Linked DNA regions of Mus musculus. The protein of the gene in region 2 binds, or shares a complex with, the protein of the main gene of each other region. Links are inferred from orthologs where the notes say so. Each region holds a gene or a part of one and is shown on either strand. Other genes may lie near its edges.

Region 1 (3,819 bases), on a different chromosome or scaffold from region 2:
AATACCAAAGGGCTGATCTCTGATGTTCATGTCATCTTTGGCATATCTGTTAAGTACAAAACAAACATACGACTATAATATTAAGAACAATTTAACAAATTCAATGACAGTTAACCTGAAAAAAAGGTTATAGTTTTTAAAACATTATAAAATGTATTATTACTATAAAGTATAAAATCAGCATCAATTTTTAAGTGTCTGTATAGTCTGATAATGTACTATAAGGTTTTAAAGCAGGCTTGAATGAAGCGCACTGTTTGTAGGAGGTAAGTCATTAGAACACCCTCTCACACCAGTCCTTGCCCTGGTCAGTGAACCTTAACAAGCAGGAGGCAAGCAGGAGCACACACAAGCTTATGCTTTCCCCGTACAGAGCAGCCTCACTTTTCTCTCGGAGCGCCTTTCTGCCATTCAAACTTGTACTCGGTCTCTCCTTCCGTTTCTTCTTTCTACAACAGTCAGTAAAAAAATCTGTCAACTGTCCATAAAATCACAATCAACTACCGATCAATTCAAACAGAGAAAAGTACTTTACCTCTTTGTTTTCTTGATTGCATATTCAAAGCACAGGAGGGAAACAGGACAAGTTAGAATGTCTACTACTTATCACTGACGGATATAATACAACACTGAAATATCGTTCAGAATAGGCAGTTTAGTTCCTAATTTTTAAGCTTTTATGTTTTCACTGGCAATGAGTAGACTTTCCATTTGGAGATTTATTTTAATAAGGACCACAGGTATGTTTACATTATGAGAGGGCTGAATGTACCTCTGCCAGTATTGAGCATTTTCCTCCAAAGCACATAAGAAACATTAGAAACTGTTTATTTTGCTTTGCACATGACAACATTGTTAGAGCAACAGCAATGGAAAAATACAAATCAAAATTAAAATACTGTCCCCTCTTCTAACTCTTTACAGGTAATTACATCAAAGCTCAAAGGAAACGAGGCGGGTACCTTTCTTAACTCCTGGTGGGGCCTCGTACATGAAATTCAGGCCATTCTTCACACGTTCATCTCCCATAAGCAATCTGAATGAAATAATGATAAAAGTTTAAGTCGAGAAGAATATGACAGCACACTATCTCTCGGAAGGAACCCTGAAGAAATTAAGACAAACCCTGAACAGTGCCTCCTTACTAGAAACTTGCCATAAACCTGAGGCTCCCTCCCTCCCTCCCGTTCTCTCAGTAAGAAAGGAAAAGCATGGTATGGTTACTCTAACAGGATTTTCTTTAAAACTGTCAACTGTTGCTGAAATAGTTTTGAAATCCTGTATGCTATTATATATTTTGGTGCCACAACCTTTAATTTTCTTTAAAAAATATTTAGTTTTTTTCTTTCTGGCTTTTTGAGACAGGGTTTCTCTGTGTAGCTGTGGCTGTCTGGGAACTGGAGTTGTAGACTAGGCTGGCCTTGAATTTACAGAGACCTATCTCTGCTGGGATTAAAGGTGTACATCACCATGGTCAACTATTTTAGTGTTGTTAATTGTGGATTGTGTGTGTGTGTGTGTGGGGGGGTGGTATGTGTGTGAACGTGCATGCACGTGGAGGCCAGAAGCTAAGGGTGTGTGTGTGCTTTTCTCATCCACTCACCTTATTTGTAAGTCACTGTGTGGTGTGTAGAAGCATGTCTGCATGCCTGTGAACTCAAAGGACAGATTTGTGCAAATAGCTCTTTGCTTCTATCTCTGTGTGAGTCTTAGGGATCGCACTGCCTTTACCCGTCTGGCCAGCCCTCCAGCTTACCTTTTAGACATGGTCTCTCAATAAGCCCGGGGTTCACACTGACTGGACTAGAACAGTAAACCAGCAAGCCCTACCTCTAGAGAACTAGGATCAAAGGCACCTACCACAATTTGGCTTTTTATGTGGGGGCTGGGAATCCAACCTTAGGTCCTCATGCCTGCATGATAAACATTTCACAAACTGAGGTAACTTCCCAGCCCAGAGAACCAAATTCTCTAACAGGCTAATACAATGAAAGCCTCAGACGTTCTTAGATTTTTGGTAGCAATTGAAATCTCCTTCTGTAGACTGTGTGCACAGCATGCTGTTGGGCTCTGTAGGGAAAAAGTCCACTGCAAACAGGATGACTATGCTGAGTTACACATAAGTCCCTAAGATCCAAGGTAAGTATTAAAAAAAAGCTAAAGTATGGAATGTCTTTGTATTTGGAAAGACAAGTCAAAGGATATTCTACATTATTGTGTGTAATTCTCTTTTCTCCATGAATTCTATACCAAAAAAGTCTGTTAAAAAAAAAACACAGAAGAACATACATACACATCTTTATTGAGGATTATTACTATTTTTATTATTATTTTAGATTTATCTATTATACATAAGTACACTGTAGCTGTCTTCAGACATACCAGAAGAGGGCATCAAATCTCATTACAGATGGTTGTGAGCCACCATGTGGTTGCTGGGAATTGAACTCAGGACCTCCGGAAGAGCAGTCAGTACTCTAACCACTGAGCTGTCTCCCCAGCCCATAGAATATTATTTTTAATCAAGAGGAATGTGCACTAGTGTAAGTGGTGGATGATCTTCAAAAACATGTTAAGGGAAAGAAATCAGGAGCCCTAACACGGCTCAGAGGGTAAAGTTGCCACCACCCAGGACTGCTGGCCAGAGTTCAATCCCTGGGACCCACATATGTGAAGACAGGGAGTTGCTTCCCACCAAGCTGTCCTCTGACTTCCACATGCGGACCAAAGTCCTCATATGCCACTACACACACACACACACACACATACACACACACACATATAAATAAATATATTTTAAAAATTAAAATAACAGCCAGGGCGATACAGAGAAACCCTGTCTTGAAAAAAAAATTAAAATAATAAACCAGTCACAAAAGACTCTGTAATCATTTGCCTCATGTGTGCATAATTTTAAAAACTACACTGTTATAGGTAGAAAGTAAAAGGTGATTACTTGTAACAGGCAGAAATGAGGTAAATTAAGAAATGGGGAAATGACTCCTGTGGAGGTTTGAATAGGAATGGCACCATAGTCATGCGTTTGAATGCTTGGCCACAGGGAGTGACAGTCTTAAGAGGTATGGTCTTGTTAGAGTAGGTGTAGCCTTGATGGAGGAAGTGTGTCACTGTGGAGGTGGGCTTTGAGGTCTTAGATGCGTAAGCTACACCCAGTGGGGTATACAAGTCTCTTTCTGATCAAGATGTAGAAGTCTCAGCTCCTTCTCCAGCACCATGTCTGCCTGCACGTTGTCATGTTCCCCACCATGACAATAATGGACTCAACCTCTGAACCTCTAAGCCAGCCCCAATCAAGTCTGTCCTATGTAAGAGTTGCCTTGCTCACAACGTCTCTTCACAGCAATGAAACCCTACCTAAAACAGCTACTAATGTGCATCAAATTTCTTTTTCAGATGACAAAATGTTTTGAAAGTTGATATGGTGATGGATTACAAACACTAAACAAAGTTAAAAATTCAGGTGTATTTTAAATATCTATGAATTTTGTCTTAACACCATTCAACCTTTTTAAATCAAGTACATGAAAAGGTTAGTTTCAGTAGACATTGAGAAATACAAATGAAAACTGCAAGCTACCACTCCATACTGATCAGCATGGTTGCTAATATATGGGCTGAGATATAACTCGGTTAGGAGAATGCTGGTCTGACACACGGGAGCCTGTGTCGGCTTCCTAGTGTCACATACTCCAGGTGTAGTAGCACATGCCAGCACTTAGGAGTTCAAGGCAGGAGAATCTAGAGTTTTAGGTAATCCTTAGCTACATAGGGAGTTCAAACCTAGATTAGGCTATGTGA
Region 2 (3,819 bases):
CTGGCTGACTATCGATACACAGGTGACAAGAGAAAGGGCTGCATGATAGCGGGGACCTGGCTGATTCCTGCCAGGGCTGATAGCAAACTTCACTTCTGCCTCTTCCCCTTGGCCTTCTTTCCAGAGCCTTTGTTTGTCTTTCTGAAGGGGTCTGTTCTTTCCAGGGGGGATTCAGCAGGCACTGCCTTGAGTTCACTAAACCCACCAGCCCTGTTCCATCATTCACTCAGAATTCTTCCAGCAAGATCAGTGTTCCTGACTAGAGCAGGGGATATGAACTTAAGCTGAGCACATCAAAGTCAGGCAGCTTGAGCCCACCTGCTTTTGTTAGGCCACTAAGGCCCCAGCCAGTTGCTCACATCTATAGCATGAGGATAGTGAGTCCCCAGCTTTGTAACACCAGGGAAGACTGAAATTAGTACATCATCAATGTTCATAATGTCAGTCAGGCTGTGGTCCCTTGAGAAAAACCTACCTTGCCCTGGCTGCTCCCCGGCAGGTTCAGACATCTGGACCCCCATGGAGAAGAGGCTCTTCAAGAAGGCATTCTGTGCCCACAAGAAGGACTTTTACCTGATACACAAGATGGTAAGATGACAGAGGGCTGGGGCAGCAAGCCCTGCCTCGAGGGCACAACTGTCCCTACCTGCCTGCAGCACATTCAGTACCTTGTAAGCGGCTTGTTACGCTTCAGTACCTTAGAAGGCTACCCTGCTGCTGCACTGCTTCTCATCAGTAAGTGCTGCTCACTCCAGCTCAGCACTTGCTGCCTTTCTCTGTCCTGATTTACTCCTGTGCATGTGCTGAAAAATACATGAACATAAAACCTAATTCTCTCTTCTGTTTTTGTTGTTGGTGTTTGTTTTTTGGTGTTGTTTGTTTGTTTGTTTGTTTGTTTGAGACAGTCTCTCTATGTAGTTCTGACTGTCCCACTATGTAGACCACGTTGGCTTCAAACTCACAAAGATCCACCTGCCTTTGCTGGAATTAAAGGGATGTGCCACTACCACCCAACTCTTTTCTGTTTTGTTTTGTTTTTTAAGACATAAAACTACACATAATCAAGGTACTGGGACAAATATTTTACATATGTATGAATCCATAGGATTGTCACCACAGGCAAGATAGCCACGTCTCTGTGATGCCCCAGTACTTCTTCCTTCCCTGACAGCCTATCGCACATGCCACTGTGCCTAACCCTCCATGTCCCTGGTCAGCCCTGGTCTGTAAGAAAGCTGTACTTTCTGGACTTTTGTATCACTAGGGCAGCCAAACAGCATTTGTTTCACACTTTATCTAGCTGCTTATACTCAGTATACTTACTTTGAGGTTCATTTGTGTTGCATTTATTAATAGTTCACCCTTTCTGCTGCTAAATAATACTGTGCTGCATGGATGTACTACAGTTGTATTTAATCACTTGTAGTTGATGGGCATTTGAGGGGGTTCCAGGCTGGGCAATTATAAAATAAAGTGGTTATGAGCATCATGTACAGAGTCTGCTCTCAGAGCTCACTACCCTTCCCAGCACTGTTTCTTTGGTCGTTTTTGGCTAGAAGGTGAATTCGTTCCTGTTGTTCTTTCTATCTTTCTCAGAAGCAGAAACCAGCTTCCATTTCCTTTTAACTTGGTGCTGTTTCCTAAGCAGAGGATGTGCTTGTTGACTTCTAGTTTGTGACAGCACATAAGCAGTTTCAGATCCATGTGGAGAAAGTGTACTCTGGAGTGAGGTGCTCACTTGGCCAATTAATTTCCTGGGAAAGTTTCCTGGGCAGCCAAAGTTTCCTCCCATCCTACCTCCCTTCTGCTGCCTCCTCTGCTTGGTGCTGGGAATGGAACCCACGTCCTCTTTCATAGTAAGCAATCTCTCTACCACTAGGTCCCACCTCCAGCTCTCCATTTCTGTTCCCTCCACCACCATCCAGAGGCTCTTTCTTTCTTGATATAAGGCATCAGTGTGTAGCCCAGGCTGGCCTCAGGCTCTCAGTCCTCCTGCCTCAACCTCCTGAGATCTAGGATTATGGCCCCATGTCACTCACTACACTGGGATCTAGAAGTCATTGGTTTGTTGTTTATTTAATTGATTGGTGCTTTGTTTTGTTTTTCAAGACAGGGTTTCTCTGTGCAGCCTTAGCTGTCCTGGAACTTTTTTTATATACCAGACAGGCCTTGAACTCATATAGATTCACTGCCCTTTGCCTCCTAAAGTGTTGGGATTAAAGACATCCACCAAAAATCATGTTTGTTGAGAAATAGTTGCTCTATATCCCTGACTGGCCTGGAACTCACTATGTACCCAGCCTGTCCTGGAACTCTCAGAAATCATGCTGCCTTTGCCTTGCCTCCAGAGACATGCGGTATGACATTCAGCCCAGGAGTCGTATTTTTGCAAGAATAAGTGACAGGGCTTGAGTGCTGTGTACACTCATAACTGTCCTTCTCATGGGGCTACTTTCCCTAGAGGGCTTCCTCAGCTATGTTTAGTTGTGGTGGCTGGAAGCTCACCAGAGAGGAAAGGCATTCTGTGTTAATCTCACCGAGTTTGGCTGTTGCCTGCTGTAATGTCCCAGTGAGCCTCCTTACCTGTGGGTCTTTATGTGTCTTCCTACAGGGAAGAAGCATGCTGGACTTAGTGCTGATGGCTACTGTGTGGCTTCACTTTGGACCCTTCACCACCCAGAAGGACCAAGATCCCTGCCTTTGCCCAGCCATGGGCAGAGACGTTGGGGAAGGGATTTCCAGGGTGGAGTTCACATGTGAGGTACTGCCCACAACCTGCTTCTGTATCTTCCTTCCCACTAGATCCAGACTAAAAGTGTAGCACAGTGTGTCGAGTACTACTACATCTGGAAAAAGATGGTTAAGTTTGATTGTGGCCGAGCTCCTGGGCTGGAGAAGAGGGGCAGAAGAGAGCTGGATGAAGTAGAAAGGACTGAAGACAAGGTAGAAGATGCATGATGAAGTGGTCTGGGTACTTCTGTGGTCCAGTCAGAGGGTGGTGGAGGCTCTCAAGGGAAGGTTTCCCTGAAGAAGACATGGTCCCACACCAGTGTCTTAGGTCATCTTTACCCTCTCTGTAGGTGACTTGCAGCCCTCGAGAGAGACCTACCCACCGTCCAACTCCTGAGTTAAAGATAAAGACCAAGAGTTACAGGAGAGAGTCTATCCTTCACTCCAGCCCAAGTGCAGCCCCCAAGCGCACTCCTGAGCCTCCAGGGAGTGTGGAGAGCCAGGGCGTGTTCCCTTGCAGAGAGTGTGAGAGGTACCAGCCTTCCCTCTGGACCTTCACCCTCTGGCCTGACTTGCTTCCCAAGCTCCTCTGGCTCTGACCCACATCCTTTGACTCCTCAGGGTGTTCGACAAGATCAAGAGTCGGAATGCCCACATGAAGCGCCACCGCCTCCAGGAGCATGTGGAACCCGTTAGGGTGAAGTGGCCTGTGAAGCCCTACCCACTGAAGGAGGAAGAGGAGGAGGAAGAAGAGGAGCTGGGGGCCGACATGGGCCCCTTGCAGTGGTGACTTCTTGCTAGAATTTGGTCTGCAAGGAGAGGGGAATTCAGCTCTGAACCAGTGCCCTGGGCCTCTCAGAAGTGTTTGGGGCCCTCTTATCCTCTCTGTCCTCTCACTTCCAGCCTTGCTAGCATTTGGACATGAACAGGCAGAAGCCCTCCAGGTAGCTCTGCAGTCATGTGGGTCATCAGAAGCTCCATTATCTCCTGGTTAATAGTTGCTTACTTGCCGTCCCAGTCACTTGGAGGGGACCCTGGGAGGCAGAAGGTTTGGTCTAAGTGGCATTTAGATCTGAGCTGGCATGGGAC

What was found.
Region 1: Zfp541 (region 2) and Cir1 share a complex: the UniProt entries of both Homo sapiens proteins name them as parts of the histone deacetylase complex. The link is inferred for Mus musculus from reciprocal best matches to the Homo sapiens genes ZNF541 and CIRSR.

The regions. Positions count from the first base shown.
Region 1 is NC_000068.7:73,305,893-73,309,711, forward strand, and holds part of Cir1 (corepressor interacting with RBPJ 1), read right to left. Parts: intron 1,037-3,819; coding exon 963-1,036; intron 547-962; coding exon 536-546; intron 450-535; coding exon 385-449; intron 47-384; coding exon 1-46. UniProt on the Homo sapiens protein: May modulate splice site selection during alternative splicing of pre-mRNAs. Regulates transcription and acts as corepressor for RBPJ. Recruits RBPJ to the Sin3-histone deacetylase complex (HDAC). Required for RBPJ-mediated repression of transcription.
Region 2 is NC_000073.6:16,092,340-16,096,158, forward strand, and holds part of Zfp541 (zinc finger protein 541), read left to right. Parts: coding exon 1-22; intron 23-499; coding exon 500-588; intron 589-2,802; coding exon 2,803-2,943; intron 2,944-3,080; coding exon 3,081-3,262; intron 3,263-3,351; coding exon 3,352-3,520; 3' UTR 3,521-3,819. UniProt on the Homo sapiens protein: Transcription regulator which is essential for male fertility and for the completion of meiotic prophase in spermatocytes.